Linked DNA regions of Arabidopsis thaliana. The protein of the gene in region 4 interacts with the protein of the main gene of each other region in a biochemical or structural test. Each region holds a gene or a part of one and is shown on either strand. Other genes may lie near its edges. The genes, in order: DCP5, XI-I, VCS and DCP1.

Region 1 (7,495 bases), 6.4 Mb from region 4:
GGTTGAAGTGACAGTAATGAATGGGTCTAATTAATAAATCGTTTCATAGTCTCTTAAAGGGAATCTTGTCAGCTTTCAGCTTCCGTAAACAAATTAGAATCTAATCCCAAGTGGGTTACACAGTTTCTTCCTTTTGTCATTCTTTGCATTATTGTTGAGAAAACATTTTCTAAAGAGAGAGAAATCATAAAGACAGTAACGTGTAATCCGACCTTTTGAAATAATTTAAATCTTGGAAAGCATCTAGTTCTTTTTCGATGATGCATTAAAACTTTATCTCAGAGGCTTAGTGCTAGTATAATATAGAGATAAAAATAATATTGGTTGGTGGTGGAAAGAGGAAAAAGACGAACCTGGGCAGCGAAGAGAGAAACAGAGAGCAAACCCATCCAAGAATGGAGACTGTAGAAATTGGCGAAAACTCCACGTTGGTAATGGAACTTTGTCCAAATCCCAAACACTGCAGAGGCCAATGCCATTCCTTGTAGCCATAAATGAACAGCTTTCTTTGTTTTCCTTGAACCAGGCAACCATCTGTGTATCAGAATCGCTGCAGATCAAAACCCCAAGTTCTTGATAAAATATTCAAGAAAGAGAGAGAGAGAGAGAGAGAGAGAGAGAGAGAGAGAGAGAGAGAGAGAGGAAATCTTCAAAAGGGGCATGAGGAGGGATCATCACTACCTTCTCCACTTACAAGAATGAAGCCAATCACCATCAGCAGAGGATGAAGAGTCTACAAGGGTATAAAAACTTTATTAGAGAGAGAAAGAGAGAGAGAGAGAGAGATCCAATTTGATATCAACGAGGAAGGGAGTGTGATAGTTACAGAGTAGCTGAGTCCTAGATTAGGCAGGAAGAGAGCCCAGTACAGAACCGAAACTGCGACTACTAAACCGGACAGTCTCGCAAACAAGACCAATGATAGTCTTGAAGGATCTACACTTCCCATTTCTGTTTTCTCTCTTCAAAAGTTGAGTAAGTAGTGCTACTGTAGAGTACAGTGACTACAGTCTCTCAGACACTAGAGTTGCCGACAAAATGATAATTTGAGAAATAGAGAGGACATTTTATGGATCTTGTATAAAGAAGACCTCTCTATCTCTTAATAAGGCCCATTTGATTCAAGGCTGCTGGTACTGTATTGAAAGTCAAAATGTTTGACTTTTGAAATTTAGACAAGAAGCTACCAACAGTAAACAGCAACAAGCTATTGAGAGTAAATAGAAAATGCATTTCACACCAAATGTCGAGTATACAAAAGTTCAAAATAACATTGGATATAAGAAGAACGACGCTATTACCAAGTCTTAAAAACAAAGATCAGAAATCAAATTAATACACTCCAAAACCACACAAGTGGGGTTTTATAACAGAAAACATTACACGGGACTCGGTTTTTGTTTTATTGCCACATACCAAAAGCACTCAAGAGCTGAGCTCCCATTGGATTTTGAGTCTTTAGAGCCCTTTCTAGCAGAACAGTTTAGGTAGTACGATTTGATACGCCTCTCCCCTGGCCACGTCCACCATACCCGTAGCCACCGCCGCCGCCGCCACGGCCACCATAACCGCCATAACCACGCCCTCCATAACCACCACGTGAGTAACCGTTGTTTCGTCCATAACCACCACGCCCTCCTCGACCTCCTCGGAATCTCGAGAATTCACCAAATGTCTGAAATCATAGCAATACGTTCTGTTAGTCAATGGGATTCTCTTACGATTCTGGGAATTCGAGTATCTCCAGCAACGAGGGGGGACAAACTCTGTCCAGTCTGCTTGCTATTCAGAGTGTGGAAATATATAGATTGTACCTCAGTATCTAGTTTCCGTTGCTCTGAGAACCTAGGCCTTGAATTTTGGGACTCTCGGTCAATGGTGTTTGATGATAGGCTATCGAAAAAGTCATCTTTGTTGTAAACAGGCTACATCAATAAACAATGTGGATGAGACCAGAGAGGGAGAATATGGTGGCTTTACTTGATTATAAGTCTACTTCACTTACTTTGGCCTCGATCTTAGGAAGCTCAGCCTCATCTACAGTCGGGGAATCATCATCTTCATCACCATCTAAGGTAGTACTCTTCCCAAGATGACCCCATACTTCATCCTTATTGAACTTTTCGTTCATTGCTGTGAAATCAAAATCTTCAGTGAATTTCATTACTTGGTGTGATCTCTGCCAACAAGAAGAATTATTAGCATACATGGCTAAAGTTCATGAGCTATTTTAAACTGGTAGATCTTTTCCTTGGTAAAAACAAATAAATGCCGTCACATTCTACAAATGAGTGAGAAGAATAGTACCCCTGCTCCTCTTCCTCGTCCTCTTCCACGTCCCCTGTAACCATTATGATTTGGGAAAGAATGCCCGTTTGGCTGAGAAAAAAAATCAGCAATTGAGTTTAAATAATTTCACCATGAAGACTTATAAGTAGACATGCAAAGAAACCATCTTATACACCAAAGAACCCTGAGAGATTTTCATGCATCTTCAACAAAGCAAAAGAGACACAGCATGGAATATTAAAATGGGAATTACCACAGGTGCAGTTATAACAGTTACACCTTATTCCAGCTAACTAAGACACCAGCAAATTCAAGGTTCTTTATGATATTAATAAGAGACATTGAAGGATTTGGCATGTTATGTAAGTTAAAAACCTTCTGAGTTGGTCTTGCAGAGGAAGGCAATGGCAGTATTGGAGGTTGGGCTTCGGATGTAACTGGAACAGATTGTTCCAACCCAGCTGATGACGATACTTGAACCACCTCAACATCTTTATCAGCATTTGTCGAGGGTGGGGACAAAGAGACTGCAGAAGATCCAGACTGCAGCAGTTGACCAGGAGTAACCAACAAAGGTTTTGGCTTATCTTGGCTAATGGAACTAGAAACTCCCGCAACAGGAGCAGATGTTAATGGTGTTGTCTGCGGCGGAGAAATTGGACCAGTTACTACACTAGGCTTGTTAGACAGTGGAAGGCCAGTACTTGCTTCTGTGGCTCTCGTAGTAGATAGAGAAAACGAAAGCAAATTAGTATCCTGAGGTAGGGTAGGAGGAGCAGTAATAGGAGCTTTGTTTGACAGCAACGGAGGTGCCATCTCTGAAGCTAGTGAAGGAGATGGTGCTGATTGCAGTGTAGACTGCAGGCTAGACGAGAGCGTCACAGGTGGTAGACCAGGGAAAGGCAATGAACTAGGAGCTAACATTTGAGAACTGGTACTAAAAGGAAACAATGAAGAGGGTGCTTCTGGCAAGCTTGACCCCTGCAAAGATGATGACCCAGTAGGTGGAGGAGGGGTATTAAAGTTAGGATATTGCAGGGGTTGCTGAAGAGAGTTGGGCATTGGCAGCCCATGAGGGGGTCGAATCAGAGACTGCTGATGCAATTGGGGAAGGCCATTGGGAGGTGGGGTGTAGAAACCTTGCCAATACATTGGTGGTTGTGGTGACGCTCCCCATGAACCAAGATTTCCACCAGGCTGATACAAAGGCATTGCGTTTTGAAATCCCATTCCATGTTGTCCAGGTTGTCCATTATGAGAACTAATGTCAGGTAGTGACCCGCTCGCAGTAGAAGGCAAGCTACCAGATGTTGGCATCGGGCTAGGGTAGTGAGACTGCAAAACCAAGACAAGTGGAGGATGGGGTTACATCAATTGACTCCAAAATCCCAGACAATGTAATCTTACAACTTTTCTAACATTCACCTGAATTATAGCAGGGTCATTATTTATAGTAGATGCAGGAGGCTGAACTGGTGGAGAAGCTTTGACTTGCAAATCCTACCAACAACAAGAACAATCAGAGTACAAAATCGGCAGGCTACTTACATAGAAGTATTAGCATAATCCTGCTGAATACCTTGATATCAGTTCCACGGAACAATATGTACTCGTAAACTTTGTCACTTGGAGGAACTTGTGGACCATCTTTTTTCCTTCCTTCAGTTCCAAATGATCGAACTACACACAACAAAAGTTCAGGGATCAGAACCAAAATCTACCTCATCGACCACTTAAACACTGATCTTTTATGCTCAACCAATAGTTTCAAGACATCAATTACAATTTGAGAACTCAAGTAATAGACATGAGCACTAAAACAACATTCCTTTCAAATCGAGCTAAACAGTTCAGATTGGAGAAAACTTTCTTAACGATTAACGGAAGAAACCATTAGTTTCTACCAAATCCGAGAGAAAACACCACCAAAATTAACACTTAACAAATCTGGTAATCCCGAAACGGAAGTGGAAACGGATCGTACCGTTTTGAAGTCCGATACTGGATTCATCTGTATTAATATTGTAAAGGATCCCTTCGTATCTGATCTCACTCTTAGATGTCAAACTAATCAAGCTCCCAACGTAAGAATCCGCAGCGGAGCTCGATTTCGAACCCGTATTATCAGCCGCCATATCCGATCTATGTCTCTCTTCGCCGACGAAATCACAGCCAAAGAGAGAAAAAACTAAAAGACAAGAGAAGGCAAACACACACACACACACTTCGAGTTCCTTGATCTCCTTCTTCTTCTTCTTCTTCGCGAGAGAGAGAGAGAGAGAGAGAGAGAAAGCTACAGATACACAATTAGGGTTTACTCTAATTTGGGGAGATCGAGCATCTCTTTTTTATTATCCATTCCCATAAAAGCCCAATTCAGAAAATAATATCAATCTGACCATTATAGCCTAGTATGGCTCCATTGACTTCTCTCTAATCACTAACCGAAGTATGCCTCGTGTACACGCGAAGGGTTTATTTCGTAATTCACCGCCAATGGTGTGTTTAGGCGAGTAGCTACGAGCCTACTCGAGCCATTCCAATCCCACGGCTCGTGTTCTGATTGCTTACTCTGGTTAGAGTTTATTATTTTATTTTGGTAGGATGGTTAGAGCTTATTATTTACATATTAATCCTAGTATCAAATCTAGTGTTATTCATAAATTAAAAGGCCTTTTAAAAAATGAATTTTGAGAAATATTTTTGGTGATTTCACCTACATTTTTAGTTGAAAATTGGGGTTAAGAAAATCACACCTTTTTTTGTCAAGAAAATCACACCTTTTTTTCTCAAGAAAATCACACCTTTGGAGAGTTTTAATTATTAAAAAAAAAATCAGACCTACATTTCTTCCTTGTTAAATGACACTGGTTCGGCACTTTGTATATAGGTAGAGAAGTCAACTGATGCCAAGAAAATAGTGCAACCAATGATTAATGATCAGAGAAGAAGAAGACCAAAGACAGTTTAATTAAGGTGACAAAGTCAATGAAGCCTTGTTTCTTTAATGCACTTTCAGTGTTCTACAAAAACACAAACAGGCAATGACGAAATAATCAGTGTATTTGCAAACCGGGATACAATATCATCATCATCAAAGTTCAAAATCATCTGTATCGTCAAAGTATAGTGGGATCTGTTTTCCTTGTTAAGTAATATGCACATTGACCCGTCTGTATCACTGGAAGAAGGAATGTACTTCCTTTGATCTTCTGGGAGATAAGAGTGTAGGAGTTAGAACGGACTGACCCAGTGAGCCAACTTCAACATGAATTCAGGTACAAGACGCCTTCTATCTACGCTTTTACCAATCGCTTCTTGATCGTCTCCCAGAACCACTGTTACTATATCTTCAAACATCTCATCTATTCCACCTCTCATTGGATCCTAACATAGATAACCAAGTTTCTAGATCAAAATTCAGGTTCTTGTCCGACAAGACATTCATACCTCAAAAAGACCGGCCATTTTACCTGAAGAAACAAATCCGTGTGTGTTTTCCCCTCGTAAAGGATCACTTTTGCTTTGGCCCCAAGCCTCTGGAGGGTTTCCGCAAAAGATTTACTGCAAAGATAGTGTAATAGAAGTTCAATCATCATCTTAACTTTCTGATATACATAAGACAGACAAATACACACAAAAGTTAAACCATACCTTGCATCTGACGGGATGGAGTAGTCATCAGTACCATGGAATAAAATAAAAGGTGGGAGACGAGCAATGATGTGTTTGAGATTCGGGTTTTGCACTACTAATTCAGGAGAGAACTGCCTTAATGATTCCTCTCCTTCCATGATGCTGAGGAAAATCAAACGTCACACGTTAAACTGTAAAAATTTCAGGCTGCTCTACTGGCCAGGTGAGTAACGTAAGCTATACCAAGATTCCAAAAGAGAAAATGCTATACCTCAGAAAGATGGAACGGTACAGCCCCCTGCTATGGAAGTGGTCCACAAGGTTCAAAAGGTTGTATCTGTAGATCACGATCACAAAGTTTGTTAAGAATAGCCAAGCAGATGATGTGAGGCCTCATCAAAAAATTTGTTGCTTTAGTTGGGTAGAAGGCAGGAATCTACTTGCTACTTTGAGCTAATATTTGACCATTACTTCACCGTTCTACGAATTGCCTAGCATTTCTACAAAAGACCTTGGTGGCTAGATAAAAACTGGAGTTAACACATATATAAATACTCAGGCAATTAAAGAAACTTGTTTTTCTCAACTTCTTGACAGAAAAATTTACATTCCAATGTATCGTCTTATCCTTATAACTGGGAAGACCAAAATAACAAGTTATTAATCTAGTCATTTGAACTCTGAGACCAAAAGAAAGGATTTTGCTTACCCTCCAGATAGACCAAAATAAGCATTTATTTGTGAACTACTCCAAGAGACACTGTCCCCCTCCCCTGACTCTTTAATGACCTGCTCTACAATGGTGCAAGCTGCGATATGTGCACCAGCAGACTGACCCATCAGATAGATCCTACACAGCAAAAAGATCAGAAATCAGTGAGTAAGAAATCTAAAACTCGAGAACTTCCATGTCTAATAATTGTTGACAGGACTAGTACCTATCTGGATCACCTCCATACTCAGCAATATGATTGCAAACAAATGAGATGCCAGAAGAAGCATCCTTGACCATGTCACTAATAGATCCTTGCGGAAAATTCCTGTGTAAGAGGAGATATTGCCAATGAGATTGAGAAACTCTAAATGAATACTGAAGGAGGATGAGAGGAACCCACCACATTCAATGTGCCAGAACAAAGAAAAAAAACTCAAAGCACGCATAACTTACCTGTAATCAATGCATGCCACAATAATATCTCTTTCTGATAATTGCTGTCCTAAGAGAGAACCCCACGCCTTATAACTGTATCAACACAAGACATTCTGTAAGATATTTGCAGTTCTTTCTCCTCGTCCTCAAATGCTTTAGAATGAAAATAGTGTCCATTGGGTATCATACTCACCCAATAATCCAGGCTCCACCAGTCACAAACGCCACAACTGGTTTTGGTCCAGTAGAGTTCTTAGGTAGATACAAGTCAAGCCTGAAGAAACCAAAAACCACTTATACCAACAAACAAAACACAAACCAACTACTAGTCTCTAGAGCAATAATCTACACATGATTAGAACGAATAATAAGCAGTAAACAATCATGACCTGTTTCTTGGTTGATCACCGTAAACTATAC
Region 2 (6,298 bases), on a different chromosome or scaffold from region 4:
GCAAACAAATATAAGTCAGCGAGCGAAGAAAATACACGTATGTGGACAAACAAGATGAGACAGGAATATTGTACCAAGCTTCATCTAAGAGTGCAATCACCCCAATAGGCTTCTGCAGACAGCAAAAATAATAATAGTAGAATTAGAAGAAGATAGATCAATTTTACTGTCATGTCTGCTTGATTATAACAAAGCAAAAACATTAAAAAAAGGACACAATTCTTGAGGCTGGCAACTACAATAGAAAACTTGAAAAGAAGATACACTATTCTATGTTATCTCTGTTATCAAAGTCTACCATACCAGAATGCAATAAAACCATTGACCAAAAAGGGAAATGTCTTTCACAAAATTCTATCATTCTTGCATTTATAGACTGGGACCTTTATCATCCATATTCTATCATGGGAATAGCAATGGCAGCTTGAGTAACTTTAGACACGGTAAATGTATTGGCTACATTAACCAGCCCAACGTATGACACAGTACAATGTAACATTAGTGATACCGTTAATTTCAAAACTATGGAGTTGAGTAATGTCACAGGAGAAAAATTAACATTGAACCGCTCGAATTTTTTTGAGTTGACATGATTCAACAAATCCCCTGTTTAAAGGGTGGTGAACTCTTTACTCGACAATCTAAGTAAAACTATAATAAATAAATAAAACGACATGATATATTGACACCATGATCAAAATCCCATGTTAAAGGTCTGATACAATTTAAGCTGTTGCAAGTTTCAAAGATCACAAAAGGCGAAGGGGCAAGAAAGTAGAACAGAACAGGATCTAAAATCTTAATCTAATTAAAATAGAGAGAAACGTACCTTCTCAATAAGGTCCAAGACATCTTGGTTGTCAATAAACTCGATATAACTCCAATTAATTTCTTCTTTTCTGTACTCATCCTGCTCCATCTTGAATACATGCTGAAAACAGACCAGAGACCATAAGGAGAGGAAGCAATATACTAAATCTGGCAAAACATTTGAAAATGAGTTCCCTATATTACCTCGTTGAAATGTTGCTGCAGCTTTTCATTTGCAAAGTTGATGCAAAATTGTTCAAAACTGCAGAATGAATCAGCCCAGATAAAGTTTACACAGTTCACAGCTAAACATAGTGCACCATATATAACTAACAAAGAATTGGGGCTGAGAAAGGAAAGAACTATCATTTAATTAGTTCCATGGATCATCGCTAACCTGTTATTCTTAAAACATTCAAAGCCATAAATGTCCAGGACTCCTATTTGAAAACGAGATTCTGGATCTTGCCCAACAGACTTATTGATCTTATCAACCAGCCTGACAGAAGCATAAAACGAATAGTTCAAACATAAGTGTAGTACATCAACAAAACATCCATTAAATGAAAGGATTAAGAAAGTCGAAAGCAAACCAGTCAAATAGATGGGCGTAAACAGTCTTCGCGAGGGTATCCCGGCTAGTAACAGCAGCATTAGGGTCAAGTGCTTTGATAATGATACCTTCACGGGTCAGAATTGAACGTGTGCAGAGCGAAGCCAGCAAAAGATTTGCATCACACCTGATTAATTTTGCATGGATACAACAAAATAAACAAGCTATTTCTTCGTATGCATAATTAAAAATGAGTACTATCAGAAAATTTTATGTACTTGAAAAGATCAGCAGCCATCTGCAGATGATGTCTAGATTCCGGATCCTTTACCACTGAAGAGTCGTGCTCTCTCCCTGAGGAAAACTCAACATTTCCAAGATGTAGAATCGCAGCAAGTGTGCGAAATATCCCTTCCTGATAAATGATTTGTGCAGGAAACAAGCAAGGAATTTCAGAAGCTGGCAGAAGAAAAACATATGAAAATTCAATTAGAAGTCGTTATACCTGCTCATCCTGACTTATGCCCACAATATCCATTGCCCTCCTTGTATTCTTATACTCTTCTGCGCTGCTGACTCCTTCTAATTCATAGGTCTTGCTTTGATTTAGATAATGAAATTGACGAGGGTTGCTTAGTTTATATTTCTCAGCGTCCTAAGCAAAATAAGAACATTTACAGATTAGTAATTAGCGTAGGTAAATTGACAAACTCAGCGAGAAAAACCTGGCGTAGCTCAATCAGATAATAAGAAAACCAAAACCAATCTCTTATGACATGTATATAGAGCTGTAAAAAGAATTACATTCCCCGAAGCGCACAATTGATAAAAACAATGATAATTCCTCTCGGGGTCTGTTATCCGGACAACACGTGATCTCTCCAGAAGATAGGTTCTGATTGCGGCACCAGATATTCTACCATTTGTGTCAAACTGGATTTCGACAAACTTTCCAAAACGGCTGAACAGCAAAAGAAGATCAGTAGATTGGTCAGTAGATTCGTCTAAAAGCTAGGCACACAAAATTTCAACCAAAAGGTTTACTAAAACCATATCAACATCATAAAGTGCTGTTATCACTGGGTATTAAGGATACTATCATGAAAAATTTGTTGACAAATGACATAAGAGCAATTAAAGATACACCTCTCAATTTTCATTGAAAAAATAAACAGAAAGAAAAAAAAAAATCAATAACCCACCTGGAATTATCATTTCTAACTGTTTTTGCATTGCCAAATGCTTCCAAGAGAGGATTTGACTGCAGAACAAGAATACTTAAATTAGAATAGATAACTCGCAAATAAAGAAAGTCAAACATGATCACCCCTAAATATTTATCTGCAAACAAATACCAGGGGAGGAAAACAAAGGCATCTATCCAGTTCTTTTTTTCTCATTGAACAAGATAGAAGACACAAATTTTATAACCAAAATCTTACTTCAAGGACTTGCTGCTCAACACTTCTATCATCGTCAGTAGCACGTCCCCCAACAAATGTAAGATACTGCATGATTAGTTTGGTTGTCTCAGTTTTTCCAGCTCCACTTTCACCGCTAACAAGTATTGACTGACTTCGACTGTCGTCAATCATTGCTCTGGGTTATAAAGAATAACTATGGTTAATAGATTAACATGACTGATAGTAAGATTTTAAAAAATCAGAAACATTAGAGAAAAAAGAGTGGATCACCTGTATGCAACATCAGAAACTGCAAAAACATGAGGACTGAGCTCACCGAATGGTGCTCCCATGTACTGTTCCATCATGTGCCCATTGTAGAGATGTGGAAGCTTTTTGAATGGATTAACAGCGATCAGAATGCTTCCAGTGTATGTCTGAAAAAGAAGTCGAACGTATTTGTAAGAAGATAATGCAGTCATGAATGATTTACTATTGGAACTGCGTAAAAAGCTGACAGTTATGAGTGGCAAAAAGAATGATACAGGAATTATTACCACCAATACTTCCAACTAAATATTATCATCTCAATGGGGACATAAATAAATTAGACACCAAGCTGCCACCAAATGTTTTACAAAAGGGCAAGCCAGCTGAGTACAAAACTGTCTAAAAAATAGATACTTTCACCTACTAAATACGGAACAGAAGCTCTCCATAACTTTAGAAGGAATATTGAACCTACAAATAATTCACAGTCACAGGGCAGTCCAACAAACTAACAAAAAGTTGTTACGAATACACAAGGTTGATTATCCCGCTCCCGCCAATAATATTGTTAATATTGAAAAAAGCAATAGTTAGGGTTAGATCACAAGATGTTTGAAGTGCGATTAGATACCAAATAGGCAAGTAAATGCCTGTAATGATATATGCATTATGTCACAATAAATTTCTTCACTTCGATATCTATCTTTTTCGGCTAAATAATATATCAGGTCACATCTAGATGCATCCATCATAAAGAACCTGAATCCACTTCACATGGAAACATGTCTTACACCACATATTAATACACAAGAAACTCCAAAAGCAACAGTAACTCGTTCTAGAGGAAAACTCCGGCCAGTGAGTACACTAATACCACTACGAAAATGAGTAAACTTCCATACGGAATGAAATCCGACTCAATAAAGTACCCCCGGAAGTATAGAAACTAAAAATTCAAACTCCAAATATACTCAGAAAGACCTCTCAATAAACAATACCAAAGAAAAAAAGAGTGAAAAGAACTCACATAGATATCATTCAGAGCATATCTCCTCTGTAGATTATAAAGAACACCAGCTTCGTGCAAGTATGTCAGTTTGGTCATATCATCCACTCCATTATGCTCTTCATCGTCAGGATCCCTCCGAAATAGCTTTTCCGGGGAAACAAAAACCTAAAACCCCAGAAAAAAAATCGCACAACAGCAAAAATTAGCATGAATAAAGCATGAAGAAGAGGAAGAAGAAGAAACAGAGCTAATTCAGCAGAAATAACGGTTAATCAGACCTTCTTCCCAGTAGAAGTTTCAACATGGAGTTTGTTATCAAAAGAATCGAGGACATCAGCAGCAATCCAAGCCAAATCCTTATCTTCGACCCAAACCTTGTCGCCCTTGCGCAGATTCAATTCCATTGGAAGACAATTTCTCATGAACTCGTGAAGAGCTCGACGAGAAAACCCTAGAGAATTAGATTGGGGGAAGCAAGAGTCATAGAGAGAGAAAGAGAGTCCGTGAGGTTGCGCCAGAGAATTTTTCAAATTTCAAAATGAAGAAGAATTGAGAAACCCTAAGGAGATAGAGAGAGAAGGGGCGAAATTTTACTACTGTGGAGTTTTTTTTTTTTAAAGGTTCAAAGTTACTTAAACCGCTACCCAAAAAAGTTCCCAAAAGCAACAAAAAAAAAAAAGAGCATCAACAACAACAATTACTTCCCGCCCTCTCGGATTTTGCATTAAAAAACAAAAGAAGACTAGATCCAAAACAAAAACACAGAAGTTTTTAGGGATAAAAATTTACGTCACATTCCGGAGTAAATGCCAAGTTTATTATCTTTGATTCGAATCATTTATAGGGTTTAATCCTTACTCGCAAAATTGATTTCACATTAGTAAAACAAACTGTGTAGTTAATTTACTGACGCTAAAAACTTGTTATTTTTAGTAATTTAGCAAATTAAAAATAGTAAGTCAAAAATGTAGAAGGCAATATTTGAATATAACATTCTTAAACGATAGTTAGTGAGGTTTATTTATATTTATTATAATTACTAGATCTCTTTTATAGAGAAAATATTCCAAAATTTGTTGTCGATTATTGTTGTTGTAATTTCATATATGGTGATGAGAGTCCAAATAAGAGTTTGGGGGAAGAAGAAGTCCAAATTATTATCATCCAATACGCATGAGTCCAAATTTACATTCCAGATTTCTTCCTTCATTCATATTTTAGACTTTAGTTTCCAAAAAATATACTAAATTTTTCTTACCCCCTACTTATTCCAAAAGTTTTATTTAATTTTTATCTTTGTTATGTGAGTCAATGTGGATCAAAGCTTAAAAGGTAAATTGATAAGGTAAATATAAGATCTACATATAACAGTAGCAACAATATCATCAACCACGTACACAAAAAAAGTACTAATGTTGTTTAGGTTTGTGTCATCACACAAGCATCCTAAGAAGGCCACAGTACAAACTCCAGAGGCCTATATGCACTACTGAAACTTATGACTTGGAGCCATTTACAACCCAAACACCACACCACACAACACATTATTTCTATAATCTGCAGAAAAAGTTGTATATAATCAAACATTTGGCGCAAAACCCTAATCTTGCAAGAGATTTGGACTGCTGAAAACGCGTTTCAAACTAGGGCACACTGTTCGGAACTTTGACATGCTCACCGAGGATATCTGTTAATTCACCAAGACAAGGTTTTAATTGTTACATAAAAATGGATTACTTGCTAAGTTTTCAATATCGAAGTTAACACTCGTTTATTGTTAGTACCTTTGGACAGAAACGAAGATCCAATGTCTCGAGTGAGCTGCATCCTGATATAGCCGCTTCAACTCCTGCTTCGTCCATGTTACAAGACTACCAAAGACAAAAGGTACCAAAGTGTGTTTAGTGGTAACATATAGACCCAAGCTTAAGGTACCAAAGTGTGTTTAGTGGTAAAAGTTACGGAGCAAAAACATACCTGAAGAAAGAGACTAGCTAATCTTGGACAGCCGAGCTTCAATACTTCCAGAGAGCAACAGTTGCTAGACAATTCGAAATGGAATTAGCAATAGAATAAGACCACTCATTTCATGGAAGATAAAGAATATAAGTTATCTAGCAAATGCAAAAGCTCAAACCTTAAATTAAGTAAAACCAGGTTGGAACAGGTGAGATCAACCTCCTTCAGATTGACCGATAACGAAAGGTTCAGTGTTGATAAATGGTAAAAGCGAGCTGCAGGTGGTATCAGCAC
Region 3 (9,289 bases), on a different chromosome or scaffold from region 4:
TACGACTCGACGCTTAGAGTACCACGGAGACGGGTACACGCCGGAGCGATGGGTCGGTCGGGGCGGGTTTACGCTACGACCCGGAGATGGGAGACGGATCAGTGTTGGTGATTTTAGGCTTCCTATGATTTTGCAGCAGCGAAAGGGCACTTTTTGACTTACTTTCCCCTTTGATTACGTTTTTTTTTTTCCTTGTCATATCTTTGGAAAATTAAGGGGAAATTAAGTTTAATCCGCTCTTTTTTTTTGTTTTTCTTTTAACTTAAGCAGTTAACAATGTATAAAGAAGTTATGAGTAGAGAAATGTATATGATTTTAGTTTTCTCCTTTATAATTTTTCTTCTTTTATCGCATCTTTTGCTCTACTTTTCAAATATACACGAAACAAGTAGACCAAGTAAGAAATCATTTTATTTGATCTTGAGATATTTAAAACTATTGGCAATTCGAAAGAACACACTCACTATTTCCTAATTTTGGTACTGTTTGTTTTAGTAAACCAAGTAATATTTTCTCTTTAATCTGTTATAAACAACTTTTTGTTCAAATCCATAACTAATAATGATGACACTGTTCATTAAATATTTTATCAAATTTGTTTCTCTACACAAAAAAAAAAAATAGTGTACGAGCCTGTGTTTTAAAGATACTGTAGTTGACAAAGACAACAAGAAGAAATAAAATAGTTACAAACAACCTGTGAAGAATCTAAAGCAAATACATTGGTAAAGTTACTGCTTTAATCCAAACATTGATTTGGCTTTTACACATAAGATATTCTTGTGAAGAAGAGTGAATAGTAAACGTATATAAAACAACCAGATTTTACATTTAAAAGAAGGATGGAAAAAACAAGAAAAACAAAATTCAAACCAAAAATGAAACAAAAATCTAACAAATGTAGAGAGATACAGAGAAGAGTAGTGATTGTTGTATTCCTATGTTTTATATAAGCAACGAACAAGAAGAGAGAACGAGATAAGAGATATCATTTGCAACCCATAAGCATGGAGTTGATCACGTGCATTATCAGTCTGATGGCTGAGACATCGCTTCCCGGTGCGTTGCGGTGATGGTGCAGAATCTGATATACCTGTTCAAAGATTGGCCGAGCGTGGACCGCAATCATCTGGTCTGATGGGTTTATGGCTGCAACCACATCAGTCATCCAAGCCAGCTTACGGGATGTGTCCTTGCTAATGTCACAGGCTAGCTGCTGCAGCAGTGAAAGAAGCACGCCTTGGCTCAGTGGAAGCGGATTCATCGCCAGTAATCCACGTAGATCCACCTGTATTGGCACAATCAATCTCATGGGATCTTATGTATAACTGATGGGTTATGTATGAGATCTTATGATGCACAAAATCCAAACAAAAATTTCACCTGTGAGCAAAGCCATGATACTATAGAGACATCGCTTCTCTGTAGGGCCGAAGTGAAAGATTCTTCGTACTTCCGTTCAGATATCAACCTCGATAGTTCTGTTGTTGGGTCCATAGGTGCTTCAACCTGAAAGGACATATGTTGCGATAGTCAAAACTCAGAAAATGACATCAGATTAGGATTCGGATAAGAGCAGAAATGGTTCTCTAATTATATGCTCTCTGACTCAATTACAAAAGATGAACAGAGAATAAACTTAAGCCAAGAACCAAAGATAGAGAACCCTAGGGGTGAGCACCATAAACTCTCCTAAGCCCAAGGCAGATCCTAGACCAATCCAGAATGCTCAATTCTTCTGCCTAAACTTCCTTCTAAGCTGTTAGTTCTCTTCTCTAGTTAACCGCCTCAACTATGATTGCTAAGCAGCGAAAAGCCACCAAGAGTAACTAAAATGCTCATGCACTAAACAAAAACAAGATTTATGGTTAGTGATTAGTTCCAGAGATGTGCAAACCTTTTCAAGAAGAGCACCCAAAGGTCCGCCACTTAGTTGAGTAACCAAGGAATTAGACCCACCAGAATTTGCTCCAGCAGCTGCGAGAGCTAAGAGATTCCTTTGGGTCTCGGCTAACTCACGACTTAAGGCTTGAGCAACTGACGACGCAGAAGTAATTGATTCCTGTAAAACGAGCAAGCAGCTTTAGAGAGAAGAAAGAAATGATTGGATTTTGCAACCATAACAGAGCTGTAAGAAGAATGATTTTCCATCGTACCTTTAGAGTATGAGCAAGCTGGGAGTGTCCAGAGTCAAACCGTTGCTGGGCTGCATTTGTATGCTCAGCAATACCTTTCTGGAAGGCTGAGTCTATTTGGTCAAACATGGCCTTGCATGCCTTCTCAAAGGAAGGTATGACTGAGGACTCCACACTTGACCTAAGACCTTCCTGAAGTTTATAAACGGCAGGAAATATATATAAGAGATAAACTCCCTTTCCGTTAAACTATGTATGCAGTTGGAGACTTATAGACACTTCTATAAACTACCACAAAGCTAGGTGAACCTCAAGTTTACCTGGAGGGCTTGCTTGCCAGAGGTCTGAAATTGGGCTTGAATTTGCCTAGCTACGGTTGCTTCAAGCTTTATATTAACAGATTTGTCAAGCTGATTAACTGCTTTGTCACCTATTCCTCTCTGTACAAAAGAGAAAGCAGCTTTCTTTTAAGAACAATGAACCTTCTCAAAAATTAGCTCTAAATTTCTCGTAAAATCTTACCTGAAAGGACTCTGTGATTGCAGAAGATACAGTTTTTTCAATAACTGGTACTACTGAACGTGCTAGGGCTGGACCAATTGCAGCCAATTCTTTCTTTATCGTTTTCTCAAACATGGCATTTAACTCCTTGCTCATGAAGTTTGTCGTTGCATTCACAATTTGCTGGGCATGGTCACGTAATGCCTTTTCATTCTTAACAGTCTCCTCCTGGATGCGGGCCCATAGAGCATCAGCATTTGACTTGCTGGATTTCTCAATCATTCTCCCTAACGCAACTTCTAGTCTTTTACTTTCTTTTCCGATAGGGCCAGTGGCAGCATTTGATAGTTGTCTCTGCATCTCCTTCTGCGAAGCCATCACCTGGAAAGGAAATAATGTTTCAGGTCAACAAATAAAAGAACAACAAAATTACCAAGCAATAACTTATCATCGATAAATGTAAGTTATTTATTTAAAACGAATGTAAGATTGGAACTCCTATGTGCAAAATCAAGGTAACAACAAGTTTAGTAGTGTGTCAGTGAAATGATGCAAGAGTATAATAACAGATTTTGTTAAGAAATAGGGTTCTAATTAGTTTCTTCTAGACCAAATATGTCACCTGATTCATCGTTTCTTGCATTGCTAACAACTGAGGAAGTAAATCTGTCATGGGATGACTTAAACTCTGACTTTGCTCATTGAAGGAGTCAGCCAGATTAGCAACATTTGAGGATGTAGATGACAAACCGGGACCCTGTGAATTTTTGGCCTTCTGCTTCTTTCCTTTAAGAAGCTTTGCAGGCCCACCTCTCGAGTCAACACCACTTTCATCTCCAGCCTTTATAGGTTGTCCATATGCCTTAGATTCCCCTGGAATGAAAGTTCCCTCAGTACTAGGATAACAGTCTCTTGCCATCTCAGTGCTGAGATTTGAAACCTGTGAGCAGAAGACTTTTTCTCTATTTTCTGAAGTGCAATTCTCAGTTTCGTCATGATCATTGATTTCACCATTCTGTGTTGACCTTGCTTCACTTATTTCTTTCACCTCTACTTCGGTGTCTCTTGGATCATTATTCACGTCCTGAATATTTGCATCCCTATCTCTCCTGTCTTCAGTAGTAATGGAGGCTTCAGCGGAAGAAACGCCCATCAATATCTCTGAAGGAGTTACAAGATGAGTGGGGTGTTTGAAAAAAGCTGATGGGCTTCGCATCCCAGACACATCATCATCAGGCGTAACATTTGAGTCCTTGCTTCTTGAGATTTCTTCTACGGATGACACGTCCAAATTTCTTTCTCCAACAGCATCCATTTGCCTATCAACAGAGTAATCAGCAGAAGGTGTTTTGCCACCAAGCTCATGATGAGGTATTACTGGCTCAATCGCCTCTACAGGAGTGTGATAGCCAGAAAGTTTACTTGATAGTCTGGGACTGAGAGGAAGTTGGGGTAAAGTAGCATACGCAGAACCTGCACCACTGGTTTGAGATGGCAGGCCAGAAGTTTTAGGTTCACCGTTGGGTGGAACAATTGCTTGTGATGTGGCTTCCGCTGATGGAAAACTCAACTTATTAGCACTTTCTGATCTATTCACTATAATCGAAGGTTTTGGCACTGAATCAACTGAAGGTAAGTCAGTAGGTTTAAGTCCAGATGGTTCTGACATGCCTTCAACAAGATTTGCCTCTCGTGATACACTAGAATCTGACTTCTCCAAACCCATATTTTCTATAGGTGGTGGCAAGCATAAGCACAAGTCTAATGTATACTGCTGGATTGCTAGAGTCTGAACACAATAAACCTTAACAATGGGTTCTTCTGGAGGATCATTTGTCCCAATGAAACTCAATATGGGCATAGTGACTGTAAACTCTGATAGGTAATCCATCCGCGTACCAACTGGAGAAGAACCATAGTCCAAATGCACAGCATATAAGGCGTTCCTTTTTGCATTTGCAAGTAAAAGCAAGCCTGCTTCAGATAATGCTATGACTTGGTTAAAAAATGCCTCTTCAGCTCGTGGCTCGGTTGAACTTTTCAAGTCAAGAGTCTGGGTACACCTCCATGATTCAGCATCAGCTGGTAAAAGCCACCCTTCTTCCCCAGCAGAGACCCAGATTTTCATTTCTCGATTTAGAGGACCCTATGAGAGGAACATTGCCAACACTGACAGAGTTAGCAACTTAGCAGAAACGAAAGCTACAAGTATAAAATGTAAACACAACACAGCAAAGCCAAATGAGATTAGATAGAGCTGAGAAAAGTCAGTAGTATTGATTCAAGAAAACTACCCCCGTGATAAGTATGATGTGATCAGGTCTCTCAGGAGATGTCACAAACGTGGCTGAACTGACTGGATGTCCATCATGAGGCCTCAAAACTACAAGTGGTTGTGCCTTACGATCTTGCCATATCTTAATCTGTACGATGGTTATAAGGAAAGAAAGAGTAAGACTCACACACACAGAAATACTAGCTGTTGCAAAATAATTCCTGGTTGAAAAGAGATGATACCCAGTGCATGTCAGAAATGGAACTTAGCAAACCTTAAAAAATTCAAAATGTGCTAGAATAGTAATTGGATGTCAAATGCACTTACTAACAAGGCTGGCTAGTTCTAATTACGAAAAATGTCAGGATTAGACCCAGTTTGCAACGTAATCAGTATAAACTTGGGTTGTTTGGAATGATTCATTTCAGAGAGGTTTAAAGAAAAGGGATGATATGAACAAACACAAACCGTGCCATCAACTGAAGAAGAAACCAGACGCGTGGTCATCCATTGGCACATTGACAAATCTGTCACTTCTCCATCATGCTTACCAACAATCTGAACACCATCGATCAGCTTATCAAGGGGACACTGGAGAGGAGCCTCAGCAGAGAATACTTCACCTCTGCCAACTTTTGTAGTATCAATACGCAGTACATGTTTACCAATTGAAACTACCAAAATTTCCTGAAAAAATGACATTTAAGCAATCAGAAGCTTGTTCTAAGAAGAATCTTATGCAACTTCTCGTAGCAAAAGAAATATGTTCAACTACCTGTTTGTGGCAGTGCCAACAAACGCGTGGATGTTTGGTGTCTTCCTCTCCTAGTATCTGAAGAGCAAGTACTATCTTCCCAGTTATTTGGGGCTGATCCTCTCCCTCAGACCCTTCAGAAATTTTCCACACAAAAACTTTTCCATCTAGGCTAACACTGTTTAAAAGAAACAGAAAAATAGAGGTATAAACCACAAAGTCGAAGAAGCTAACCAGAAAAACTCTAATAAACAAAGAAGAATTCAATGAGCCACTCTTCCATATATGTACAAATAGCATAGCCTAATTAGACGACAGTTCCAAAACATTACCTGGCCAACATATCAACATCCTCGGCAAAGAAAGCCATATCCGTCACTCTCTGGATATATAACCGTAGTTAGAACTAGATGAGTACCTACTATACTTGAATAAGTAAGTAATTCACAAATTACAGAGAAAAAGTAAATGAACCTGTGAATGGCCACGGAACAGAGACCTCAATGCTGTGTTGATATTGAGAACCCTAATGTTTCCTCCTTTCAATCCATAGCAAATGTAAACCTTATTCACGGCGATTTGCCTACCCACTACGAGCTGAGGATCCGACCCGTATTTGGTAATCGGAGTCACCTCCAGCTGCGGCTGAATCTCACCTTGTAATCTCACATCAACATCGTACACAGCGTGTTCACCAATCAATCGCCTTCCCTTGGGCAATTTACAGCTCGGTACACGAATAGGACCTGAACCGCCGGGAAAAGAGCGAGCGATCTCGTTGTGATTGACTACTGGGAGCTGATGCGACGGCTCTTGGTTAGCCACGGGGGCTCCGTTGTTGGTATTGTTAAGGAGAGCGAGGATGTGCGTACCGGGATTGTGATTGGAACGGGGGGATTGTAGATTGAGAGGTGGCGTGGGATAAGACAGCGTTCTCTGAGGATGCAAGTTAGTCGCGGCGGAAGAGGAAGACACATCCTGTTGCTGCTGAGTCACCGGAGATGGTTGAGCGGAGATACCAGGCGGAGCGTAGTGCTGCTGATCGTACTGGTTGTGAAGAAAAGGACCTGTAGGCGGAGGATAAGATGCCGCCGGTGGCGGATAAGGATTGGATGAAGGTTTGAAGAGAATACCGAGATCAAACGGAGGAGTATTGTGAGGGTTAGTATTACCAGGAGAAGACGCCATAGATTTTTTGCAGATTTAAGATCGCCGAAGCTAGGGTTTGTGAAATCGATCAAACAAAGAGAGGTGTATATAGAATACTGAGCTCCTTGAAAAGATTCCACAAAAAGAAGACTCGGCGGATCTGAAAGTCACATAAAAAGCGAGAGAGAGAGCAACAATAGAGAGAGAGAGACGATGATGACTTGAAAGTGAGAACAGGTAGAGAACTTTTGGAGACTTAGCTATTTTTTCTTCTTCTTTAATGAAAATATTAAATTGGGCATGTCCCAGATCACGAAAAGTTTTGGGGTGATGATCGTGTTTATATCTAAAATATGAGACCGCTTCTGTAAAACAATTTTCAGATTTTACTCGTTTGGGCCTTTAATTTCAATTATTGGGCCCTATTTACATTTCCAGAGATTCACCCATCATTTGTTTCCAACTTCTTGCTCTTCATCGGAACCTCCAACAAAAGAGAAGAAGATGACAAGGATTCTGAATTCATGGTCAGCTGAGCTCACATGCAAGTAAAGGCAACCGAACCCAACAGCAAATACCCTTCAATCCAAAAACTGATCAACTGAACTCAAAAGTAAAGAAAAAGATTTTTTATTGCAATTGCTCAATTTTGACAAATTCTCTGCTTACTGCCACACCAGATTCCCATAATGTCTTCAAACTCATCTGTCTATTCTGCAGGTAACTTGTAGTTACTTCAAAACCAATTTCATTAGAAAATCAGTATACCCTGCCCATACATGATCTTCATGTTTTCTCAGGGTTTTCCAGATCCTAGCAAACTCATTCTCTCGGAGAAGAAAAAGGGAACATTATAGACGTAGAACCAACCAGATGTTTACAGTTAAAGGAAATTGAACTAATGGGTAACCAAAAAAAATCTAACTAGAGTAGAGAGAGAAATACAGAGAAGAGAGGTTTCCTATGTTTTATGCATGTAACTAACAAGAAGAAACAGAGAGAGCGAGATGTCATTTGCAGCTCATAAGTAAAGAGTTGATGACGTGCATTATTAGTCTGACGGCAGAGACGTCGCTGCCTGGTGCGTTACGGTGATGGTGCAAAATCTGATAAACTTGTTCAAAGATTGGGCGAGCATGGACCGCTATCATCTGATCTGATGGGTTTATGGCTGTAACCACATCAGTCATCCAACCTAGCTTACGGGATGTGTCCGTGCTTATGTCACAAGCTAACTGCTGCAGCAGTGAAAGAAGCACACCTTGGCTCAGCGGAAGCGGATTCATCGCCAGTAGTCCACGAAGATCCACCTGAATTGGCACAACACCAGTGTCATGGGATGTTACGCAAAACTGATGGTTATGAGATCTTATGATGCAGGAAATCCAAAAAAGAATTCACCTGTGAGCAAAGCCATGATACTATAGAGACATCGCTTCTTTGTAGAGCTGATGTGAAAGATTCTTCGTACTTGCGTTCAGATATCAACCTTGATAGCTCTGTTGTTGGGTCCATAGGTGCTTCAACCTGAAACAACAATGATGCATTGCAGTTAACGTATATACATGTCAAACACGCAGAAAATGACAAAATATTCATGGTAAGAAATTTGATCCAGAGATGTGCAAACCTTTTCAAGAAGAGCACCTAAAGGCCCGTTACTTAGTTGAGTAACCAAGGGATTTGATCCAGCAGCTGTGAGAGCTAAGCGATTCCTTTGACTCTCGGCTAATTCACGATTTAGGGCTTGAGTAACTGATGATGCAGAACTAATGGTTTCCTGTATAAAAGCATGTTTAACATGAGGATTAAAAAAGGATTTTGCTACCATAACTAGAAGAAAGAGCCAAAAAATCTGGAAGAAGGACGATTTTCTATCATACCCTCAGAGTATGAGCAAGCTGAGATTGTCCAGAGTCAATCCGTTGCTGTGTTGCGCTCGTGTGCTTACCAATTCCTTTCTGTAAGGTTGAGTCTACTTGCTCAAACATGGTTTTGCATGACCTCTCAAAGGAAGGTATGACTGAGGACTCCATACTTGACCTAAGACCTTCCTGAAGTTGACAAATGGCAGCAAATATATATAAGAGACAACTGCTTTTACGATAAACAACGATGCAGTTGAGAATGTATGCACAAGACTTGTATATATAACCAGTCAATCAGTCATAACTGTCTGAAAAGCATAAAAAATATATATACAAGAGACAGTAAGGCATAAAAAAACTAGTTTAAACTCGAATTTTTACCTGCAGGACTTGTCTGCCAGATGTCTGAAATTGGGCTTGAATCTGCCTGGCTACGGTTGTTTCAAGCTTTGAATTAACAGATTTTTCAAGCTGATTGACTGCTTTGTCACCAATTCCTCTCTGTATAAAGAGAAATCAGTTTTCTTTTTCATCAATGGACCTTCTCATAAATCAGCTCTAAATTTCTCTTAAATTACTAACCTGGAAGGACTCTGTGATTGCAGAA
Region 4 (6,717 bases):
TATTTCTTGTGTTTGTGTTGTATTTACTTAAAAAAATAAAGGAGATCAGTTTGGGAGAAAGCAGCAAAGAAGAAAAATGGCAGCAACATTTGCAACACCATCGACGGTGATAGGCCTCGGAGGATCATCCATCACCACCAAACCCTTCTCTTCATGTACTCTTTTTCTCTCTTTCTCTTTTCGAATAATTTCAATCAAACATATATATGCATATGATAATCTTGATTTGTGATTTCTCGTATGTTTTTTAGCCTTTTTAAAACCAACATTAAGCGCCAAGAACCCTTTGAGACTCGCCGGTGCATCGGGAGGAAGAGTCACTTGGTAGGTTACTCTTTATTTTCTTCTCATAGTAATAACAAAGATATCACATTTTATGAAAATGCTTAAAACTCCAGAAGTATCACTAGTTATGTTACTTAAGATATAGGAATGAGTCCTAACTGATCTTAGGAACTTAATAAAGCTTGTTTTAATTTTGAGGTGCTTTTTAGGGTATTTTCTAATAAATTTATTTGTTTGTGTCAAAAATGAATTAAAGCTTTGAGAGGAACTGGTTGAGGAGAGATTTGAACGTGGTAGGATTTGGGCTGATCGGATGGCTAGCTCCGTCGAGCATTCCAGCGATAAATGGGAAGAGCCTGACGGGTCTCTTCTTCGATAGCATCGGAACTGAGCTCGCTCACTTCCCGACTCCTCCAGCTCTCACTTCACAGTTCTGGTTGTGGTTGGTTACGTGGCACTTAGGCCTCTTCCTCTGCCTCACTTTCGGACAAATCGGATTCAAGGGCAGGACTGAAGATTACTTCTAAGGATAACTATTCTTGTTTTCGTTTGTACTATATGCTCTCTCTTGGTTATGTGTAATATTATCAATCAAAACAAAGCTTTCTTTGCTATTTGATGTTTCATTCTATATCTCGACAAGTCTTTCTTATATGATCTTGATTTTAAGAATGTCTGTCAGTCTAACTAAAGTATTAAATGTTAAAAGCGTTTCTCGAGGGAAAGCTCACAAAAGATTGGGATAATACTTCAAAACGAAACATCACAATACGTCTTTGACTTGAACCATACAAACAGTTTTTGTCTTGCAATCTCGAATCTTTTAAAAAATAGAAAAATTATCTCTCTTTCTTCTTACTCTTTCATGTTTTTTGTATTAATCTTGATGTGTATATGTTCCAATAAACTCTAAACATGCATGAAGATTTGTGAATCTAAAGTCTTTAACATGTCTTTCGACTACGAAACAAAAATTGATGAGGAAAGGTAAAAACTTGAAAGTAGATAAAATGAAAAAGTAATTCCAAGAGTTAAACAAAGGGGGCAGTGCAGTATCTTATAAGGTTCCAACAACACTTTCAGAGGGAACAAAACTACATTTTAACTACACATTCTAGATCAAACAGCCACTATCCCACACGTAGATGCTGACCAGCGCAGCTTCATTGTTGAAGTGCATTTTGTAAAGTTCGGGTAATCTTGTCAATGAATTCATCCTCCTGTCAAAAGCAACTCGTTAGGTTTGCACAGCAGCTCAAATAAAGTGATGTGGTAAAGGACGAACCTGCAACAGGGATAAAAGGGCTTCCTTCACTTTGTCTCTGCTGATAACCGGACCAGTGGGTGCAGGAGCGAGTGATGGTGGTGGAGTTGGGGGTGGGAAAGGCTGGAGCACCGGAGTACCATATGACCGCTGCTGGTGACTCGCATTATTAGGATTGAGAGGAGGAGCAGTGGGCATAGATACACCAGGAATGAGGTGTGGCTGTGCCATCATTCGTGGGGGGCCAAAGAAAGACGGCGTCACCAAATCTGTGTGAATGTTGGAGTTGCTGCTGATAACTTCAGGGTTGTTGTCAAAGAGAGTCATCAGAGGAGAGGAGGATTGTAGAGGCGGTGGTGATTGTATCTGTGGAGGTGCTGCTGCCGCTACAGGAGGAGCAATGGTGGGTTGGTGAGGCTGGTGAGGTTGGTGAGGAATCGCTGATGATTGGTAAGGTCCACTTGCTGACCCACTCGCAGTGTTCCCAAGATTCATCGTTGACTGTCAACAATTTAGATAAATTCAGTGTTACAATTTGAGGAGTCTAAGTTGGACCATATACTACGCTGAAGATAATTCAAGAACCTAGAAGGCTAGAACTAATAGAAAGCCCTCCTGCCATTAGTCGTATAAGATGCTGTCATGGTGAAGATGATAGTGTGAGTGTGTAACAGAAGCTTTAGAAACTTACGCTAAAGAAGTTGACAAAAGCAGGATCATCAGGGGCATCCCTAGCAGTTGATGATGGTTCAAGAGGACCATCCATAACTGCCATTGTAGGCTTAGCTTCCAATTCCTCAAACTCACTGCAGTACATAGAAAATCTAACTTAATTTAACAAGTAAGAGATATAACAGCGGGAAAAATGATTTAGATTATCAAGTTTCCACCTCAAAGAAAACACATCCAAGAAACAACTAATGGTGTACTAACTAAATCTAATCATGAAAATATTACCTCTTTGAAGATGAGGCCTTTGGCTTCTGGTTAACCTTGGAATATGCACTGAGTATTCTGTCATGCCAAGGAACCATTAGGCAGAGATACAACGAGTAAGAGTAATTTCAAGTTCATACAAATATACAAGAACATTATATTTGCCAACAAGTAACTGTCTGATAATAGGCAAATAAAAGACGATATTGATATTATTCATGATCCAACAATTGAAACCAACAGTTTCTACCTGATATGCAGTGACTTATATATACATACCTGTTGAAAAGAGTTGCTACCTCCTCGCATTCACGTTTATTGTAGAACCAAATGCCATTTACTTCTTGAGATGCATTACGGTAAAGTAAATATGGACCTTGTACTTCATACTCAAAATCTCCCAGGAGATTCTCCACCAGATTATCTATCCAGACAAATACAGCAACACACTGATGATTACTAATACTGAATCCTTAAATAAGAACTTGCAATATATTACTAAATCTAAACCTTTTCTAGACACATGACACACACCAACTTTATTTGAATAAATCCTGACCTGTATTACGACGATTCATCACAATAAACTGAAATCGAGGTTGTGTACTTCTGAAAGAAACAAAAAAAAGGATCCAATCAGATTTGAGAAGACGATTAAAGATAAGATACACATAGTTAAAGATCGAAAGTAGTAACCTTTTGACAACAAACAAAGATCCTTCAACGTCCTTACGACTCTGAATGACAAAAGACAGATCAATCATTAGGTAGGGAAGCAAACATCAAATTATGTAATCGAAGATTGATTGAGACTAACCCATTGGCTGAGCTCAATGTTGAATTCATAGAAAGTGACATGAGCGGCTGTGATGAGGATTTCCTCGATGTATGGATCGATCCGCTGGAGAACTGTGAGATTGAGGAGCCTCGTACTGTTTTGGTCCAGATTTGGGATTATCTTCCCGTTTTGAGACATCTTTTATAAATCAAAGATCAGAATTTTGGGAAATCTGGATTCGATTTTACCCTAATCGGAAGAACCCTAGAATTCTGATTTAAGGTAGCTGAGAGATTTGGGGACGGAGACGAAAACGCTAACTTTTGGAACGCACTTCGCTATTTTGTTGTCTGCTTTGGCAAAAAAAAATGGTAATTTAGTTATAAAACTTAAGAGAATAAATATACTGACCATAAAAGCATTAGAGTTTGCTTCAAAAATACATCATTAGAGCTTGCTTAAGAGATTATAAACAACATTAAAGAAGAATATTTATTCAATTGGAGTATAATCAGTGGGTTGATCCTTTTAATTCAAAGATCAATTACTGCATAGTCAATAGAATTTGGTTATGGAACAGTCCACGAGGACAATTTTCAAATTGAAAACGAAAATTTCTGTTTTTATTCACATCTGTGGATTGATTCGTCTTTGAAATAAGCACATCTAATTCAAAGATAATATAAGCTACAAAATCCATTAACCAAAATCACTGCAGTTATTTCAAATTATCCAAACCAAAAGCTAAAGAGGAGAGTAGCAGCACAACTCTTACACTGTTTAACAGATATGTCTGAAACAAAAACGAAAGGGTAAGAAGAAGTGTCTTATAGCCACCAATTTTAAGTAGGTGAAAGCTCAGAAGATTCTTTGTGGTGGTCCCATTGTGCTCTTGAGGTACAAACACCTGACATTTTGCCAGTTCTTCTTCAATAGCGAGACGAGGAAGTTGACGCTCATCTGCACATTCTGAAAGATCTGCTTCTCTTCCATTGAAAGGTTACCAACTGCAACTCCCATGCACAGAACCTTCTTCAGCTGGAACTTCACTGTTGCCTTTGTTTCATTCACCTTTGACTCCAAGGATTCCTGGTGGCTCACAAGAGTTGGGAATTTTCCTGTGTAAAGTAAAGCAAAGGAATGTTACTTAAGAATCATCAAAGAAGCATAATCTCACAGGATAAAGGATTGGCATTGTATCAAAAAGACATTGACAAAAGAAATAGACTACTAAAACCTATCCAAAATCAAAACGGATGTAAAGAAGAACAATGGAATATTAGCTGTAGCCAGAACTTGCCTGCCTTGTTAAGACCAGGACCAAGAAGACGAGGAATCTGCTTAATGACAGACTCAGAGGCCAAGAAAGCATGGTATTTCTTTGCAAGCTTCTTGACGAGTTTCTTGTTCTTGTTAAGCTTTTTTAGAGACTCAACATCCATGTTTTCCAACCCCATCTTCTCAGCCTACGAAAAGATACAAGATGAAATAAGCAAATATTTAATTATGCAAGAAATGAAGCCTAAATAAACAATGACCAAATTCCGAAAACATCATGCATCTACATTCAGAAGACATATACAACATCAAATGAAACTAATAGAGCCACCAAATGAAATGAGCACAAAACCATTATACAAGAAACAGAGCACAAAATGATCAATTTCCATGAAAAGATATATCACCTCTTCAACATGCTGGGCATCTCCGAGCATGCAGATCTTCATTTTAGGACGGGGGATATGTGGTAACTTGACAGATCCACTGAAACGCTTGTCCTTTTGAGGGTCATAGTTCTTCAGACCGATCTGGAGCTCAATAGTCTCGACAAAGTTACGTTTCTTTGCCTCGGATTTCCCTGTGATAGTAGTGATGGCTTCACGAACGGCCTCACTCTGAAGCTTACTGTATTAACCCACAAAGAACAGAGTTAAGCAAATTAACTAAACAAACAAAAATACACAACATTGACAACCTCAACATGAACAACCCACATTATAGACACTACCATACAAAATAATCTTATCTTAATACACCTAAATTTTTATGAGGCAAGATTTAGATTTGTCATCCAAATTTAGAGGCCTTAGTAAAGAGCATTTATGCAAAACTGCAGAACAACTTCGTGTCAATCCTAGACTATTAACATCATAAAGCTATCAATAACGCACATCCAAAAAACAATCACGATTCAGAGACGTATTGTTCTCTAATTAAACTTATTGCATATGACAGAAGAACAATACGTCTCTGAATCACGATTCAGAGACGTATTGTTCTCTAATTAAACAGTGAATGTAAGAGATGCGTCAAGTACCTCATTTTGAGCTTGTCTCAATTTAGCTAAGATCTGATCCTGGAAACGAAACAAAGACAACAAAAAAAAGAATCAAAATCTATAGCAGAAGCTCGAGAAACAAGAATAATCTAATGTACAGTATACATATAAACGAAGAAGAAGAATCAAGCTAGAAGTGAAGCAGTCGTTGAGGCACAAACCTGAGTGACGAGACAGACAGAAGAAACCCTAAATTTCTCGAAAGGCGAAGCCTTTATAGTAAGGATAATGATCAAATAAACTAAACCTAAATGAAATTGGGCCTTTAGAGATAAGGAAAAGCCCAAACTGAAATCAAATGGGCAGCTGAAAACGTGAGACCAACAAAACCAAAAATTACTTGAGCGATCTAACATCCGACTACCGTCTTGGAGACTTTTCTGATGATGGTCTAGTCAAAACCACTCAGTTCGGCTTAAGCCATTCAGGTTTGACTTTGTGCCTCTACGACGTCGTCTTGTGACTTTGTGTTCTCTCTAGCTATGGAATTTTTTTCTTCTTGAGCTGTTGTTAGATTAAGATTTTAGAAGATGACTGCTTCTGGAGCTCTTCTTGTTGCACATATTGATTCGTTTCTTTTGGAACCCAGCAGAAGAAGAGTGCCAATTCATGGCGCAATTTCTGCTTACTGTACTACAAGTCCTACTTGCATTGACCTTCTGGATCGGAATCGGATCAGGCTCGTCGAACCATTATAATGCCGGCGATCATGTCCCTTTGTTCGTCAACAAAGTGGGTCCTCTCCACAATCCGAGGTTGTTCTCAAATTCAAATCTTTTGGTAATTCTTATGCATTTTGCTTTTTATTGGCTTATGATGACGGGTGAGTAATCTAAGAGGAGGAGATCAAGTTAGAGAATGTGTAAGATATGTTTTTGTTCTAGCTTTAGTTTGACCATGGAACTCAAAGATGGCACATTTTCTTAAACCCCATTTTAAAGTTTGGTGTTTTGTTTTGTTTGCAGTGAGACCTATCAATACTATGATTTGCCGTTCTGCCGTCGAGGTTAGGTTTCTCAATGATGTCCTTTTAGTTTTACATTAGGATTTGTATCTGTCCCTAGTTTCGGTCTTTTGATTTAGGATTGTTTTATATTTTGTAGGGCCTGTGATTGA

Evidence for each region.
Region 1: the proteins of DCP1 (region 4) and DCP5 form a complex in vitro, tested with the Arabidopsis thaliana proteins (one study listed by BioGRID).
Region 2: the proteins of DCP1 (region 4) and XI-I form a complex in vitro, tested with the Arabidopsis thaliana proteins (one study listed by BioGRID).
Region 3: the proteins of DCP1 (region 4) and VCS form a complex in vitro, tested with the Arabidopsis thaliana proteins (one study listed by BioGRID).

What each region holds. Positions count from the first base shown.
Region 1 is NC_003070.9:9,023,133-9,030,627, forward strand, and holds DCP5 (decapping 5), read right to left. Parts: upstream 4,824-7,495; 5' UTR 4,425-4,823; coding exon 4,274-4,424; intron 3,970-4,273; coding exon 3,869-3,969; intron 3,790-3,868; coding exon 3,715-3,789; intron 3,625-3,714; coding exon 2,665-3,624; intron 2,493-2,664; coding exon of another isoform or gene 2,473-2,492; intron 2,380-2,472; coding exon 2,308-2,379; intron 2,180-2,307; coding exon 2,006-2,179; intron 1,926-2,005; coding exon 1,815-1,925; intron 1,676-1,814; coding exon 1,484-1,675; 3' UTR 1,209-1,483; downstream 1-1,208. Other genes in the region: AT1G26100 (Cytochrome b561/ferric reductase transmembrane protein family), read right to left, coding at 354-550, 682-733, 827-949; ICME-LIKE1 (alpha/beta-Hydrolases superfamily protein), read right to left, coding at 5,524-5,676, 5,763-5,853, 5,944-6,087, 6,197-6,262, 6,635-6,775, 6,864-6,965, 7,094-7,168, 7,269-7,349 and 1 more. UniProt on the Arabidopsis thaliana protein: As a component of the decapping complex, involved in the degradation of mRNAs. Promotes P-body formation. Translational repressor.
Region 2 is NC_003075.7:16,010,326-16,016,623, forward strand, and holds the start of XI-I (myosin), read right to left. Parts: upstream 4,645-6,298; 5' UTR 4,468-4,644; coding exon 4,324-4,467; intron 4,211-4,323; coding exon 4,064-4,210; intron 3,204-4,063; coding exon 3,058-3,203; intron 2,963-3,057; coding exon 2,806-2,962; intron 2,625-2,805; coding exon 2,566-2,624; intron 2,325-2,565; coding exon 2,168-2,324; intron 2,019-2,167; coding exon 1,869-2,018; intron 1,779-1,868; coding exon 1,642-1,778; intron 1,551-1,641; coding exon 1,404-1,550; intron 1,310-1,403; coding exon 1,208-1,309; intron 1,073-1,207; coding exon 1,015-1,072; intron 932-1,014; coding exon 830-931; intron 113-829; coding exon 75-112; intron 1-74. Other genes in the region: SLOMO (F-box family protein), read right to left, coding at 5,646-5,732, 5,830-5,916, 6,023-6,086, 6,183-6,298. UniProt on the Arabidopsis thaliana protein: Myosin heavy chain that is required for the cell cycle-regulated transport of various organelles and proteins for their segregation.
Region 3 is NC_003074.8:4,301,649-4,310,937, reverse strand, and holds VCS (Transducin/WD40 repeat-like superfamily protein), read right to left. Parts: upstream 7,114-9,289; 5' UTR 6,854-7,113; coding exon 6,140-6,853; intron 6,048-6,139; coding exon 5,998-6,047; intron 5,844-5,997; coding exon 5,687-5,843; intron 5,599-5,686; coding exon 5,380-5,598; intron 5,060-5,379; coding exon 4,931-5,059; intron 4,783-4,930; coding exon 3,259-4,782; intron 3,018-3,258; coding exon 2,658-3,017; intron 2,576-2,657; coding exon 2,456-2,575; intron 2,328-2,455; coding exon 2,157-2,327; intron 2,063-2,156; coding exon 1,898-2,062; coding exon of another isoform or gene 1,802-1,897; exon of another isoform or gene 1,510-1,801; coding exon 1,384-1,509; intron 1,289-1,383; coding exon 989-1,288; 3' UTR 663-988; downstream 1-662. Other genes in the region: AT3G13310 (Chaperone DnaJ-domain superfamily protein), read left to right, coding at 1-111; VCR (varicose-like protein), read right to left, coding at 7,825-8,124, 8,216-8,341, 8,445-8,594, 8,698-8,868, 9,064-9,183, 9,265-9,289.
Region 4 is NC_003070.9:2,635,099-2,641,815, reverse strand, and holds DCP1 (decapping 1), read right to left. Parts: upstream 3,780-6,717; 5' UTR 3,462-3,779; coding exon 3,303-3,461; intron 3,223-3,302; coding exon 3,182-3,222; intron 3,095-3,181; coding exon 3,045-3,094; intron 2,910-3,044; coding exon 2,765-2,909; intron 2,564-2,764; coding exon 2,507-2,563; intron 2,356-2,506; coding exon 2,241-2,355; intron 2,051-2,240; coding exon 1,571-2,050; intron 1,506-1,570; coding exon 1,449-1,505; 3' UTR 1,153-1,448; downstream 1-1,152. Other genes in the region: PSAO (photosystem I subunit O), read left to right, coding at 77-155, 252-324, 542-812; AT1G08360 (Ribosomal protein L1p/L10e family), read right to left, coding at 4,122-4,381, 4,564-4,729, 4,949-5,168, 5,581-5,585; AT1G08350 (Endomembrane protein 70 protein family), read left to right, coding at 6,211-6,356, 6,567-6,607, 6,705-6,717.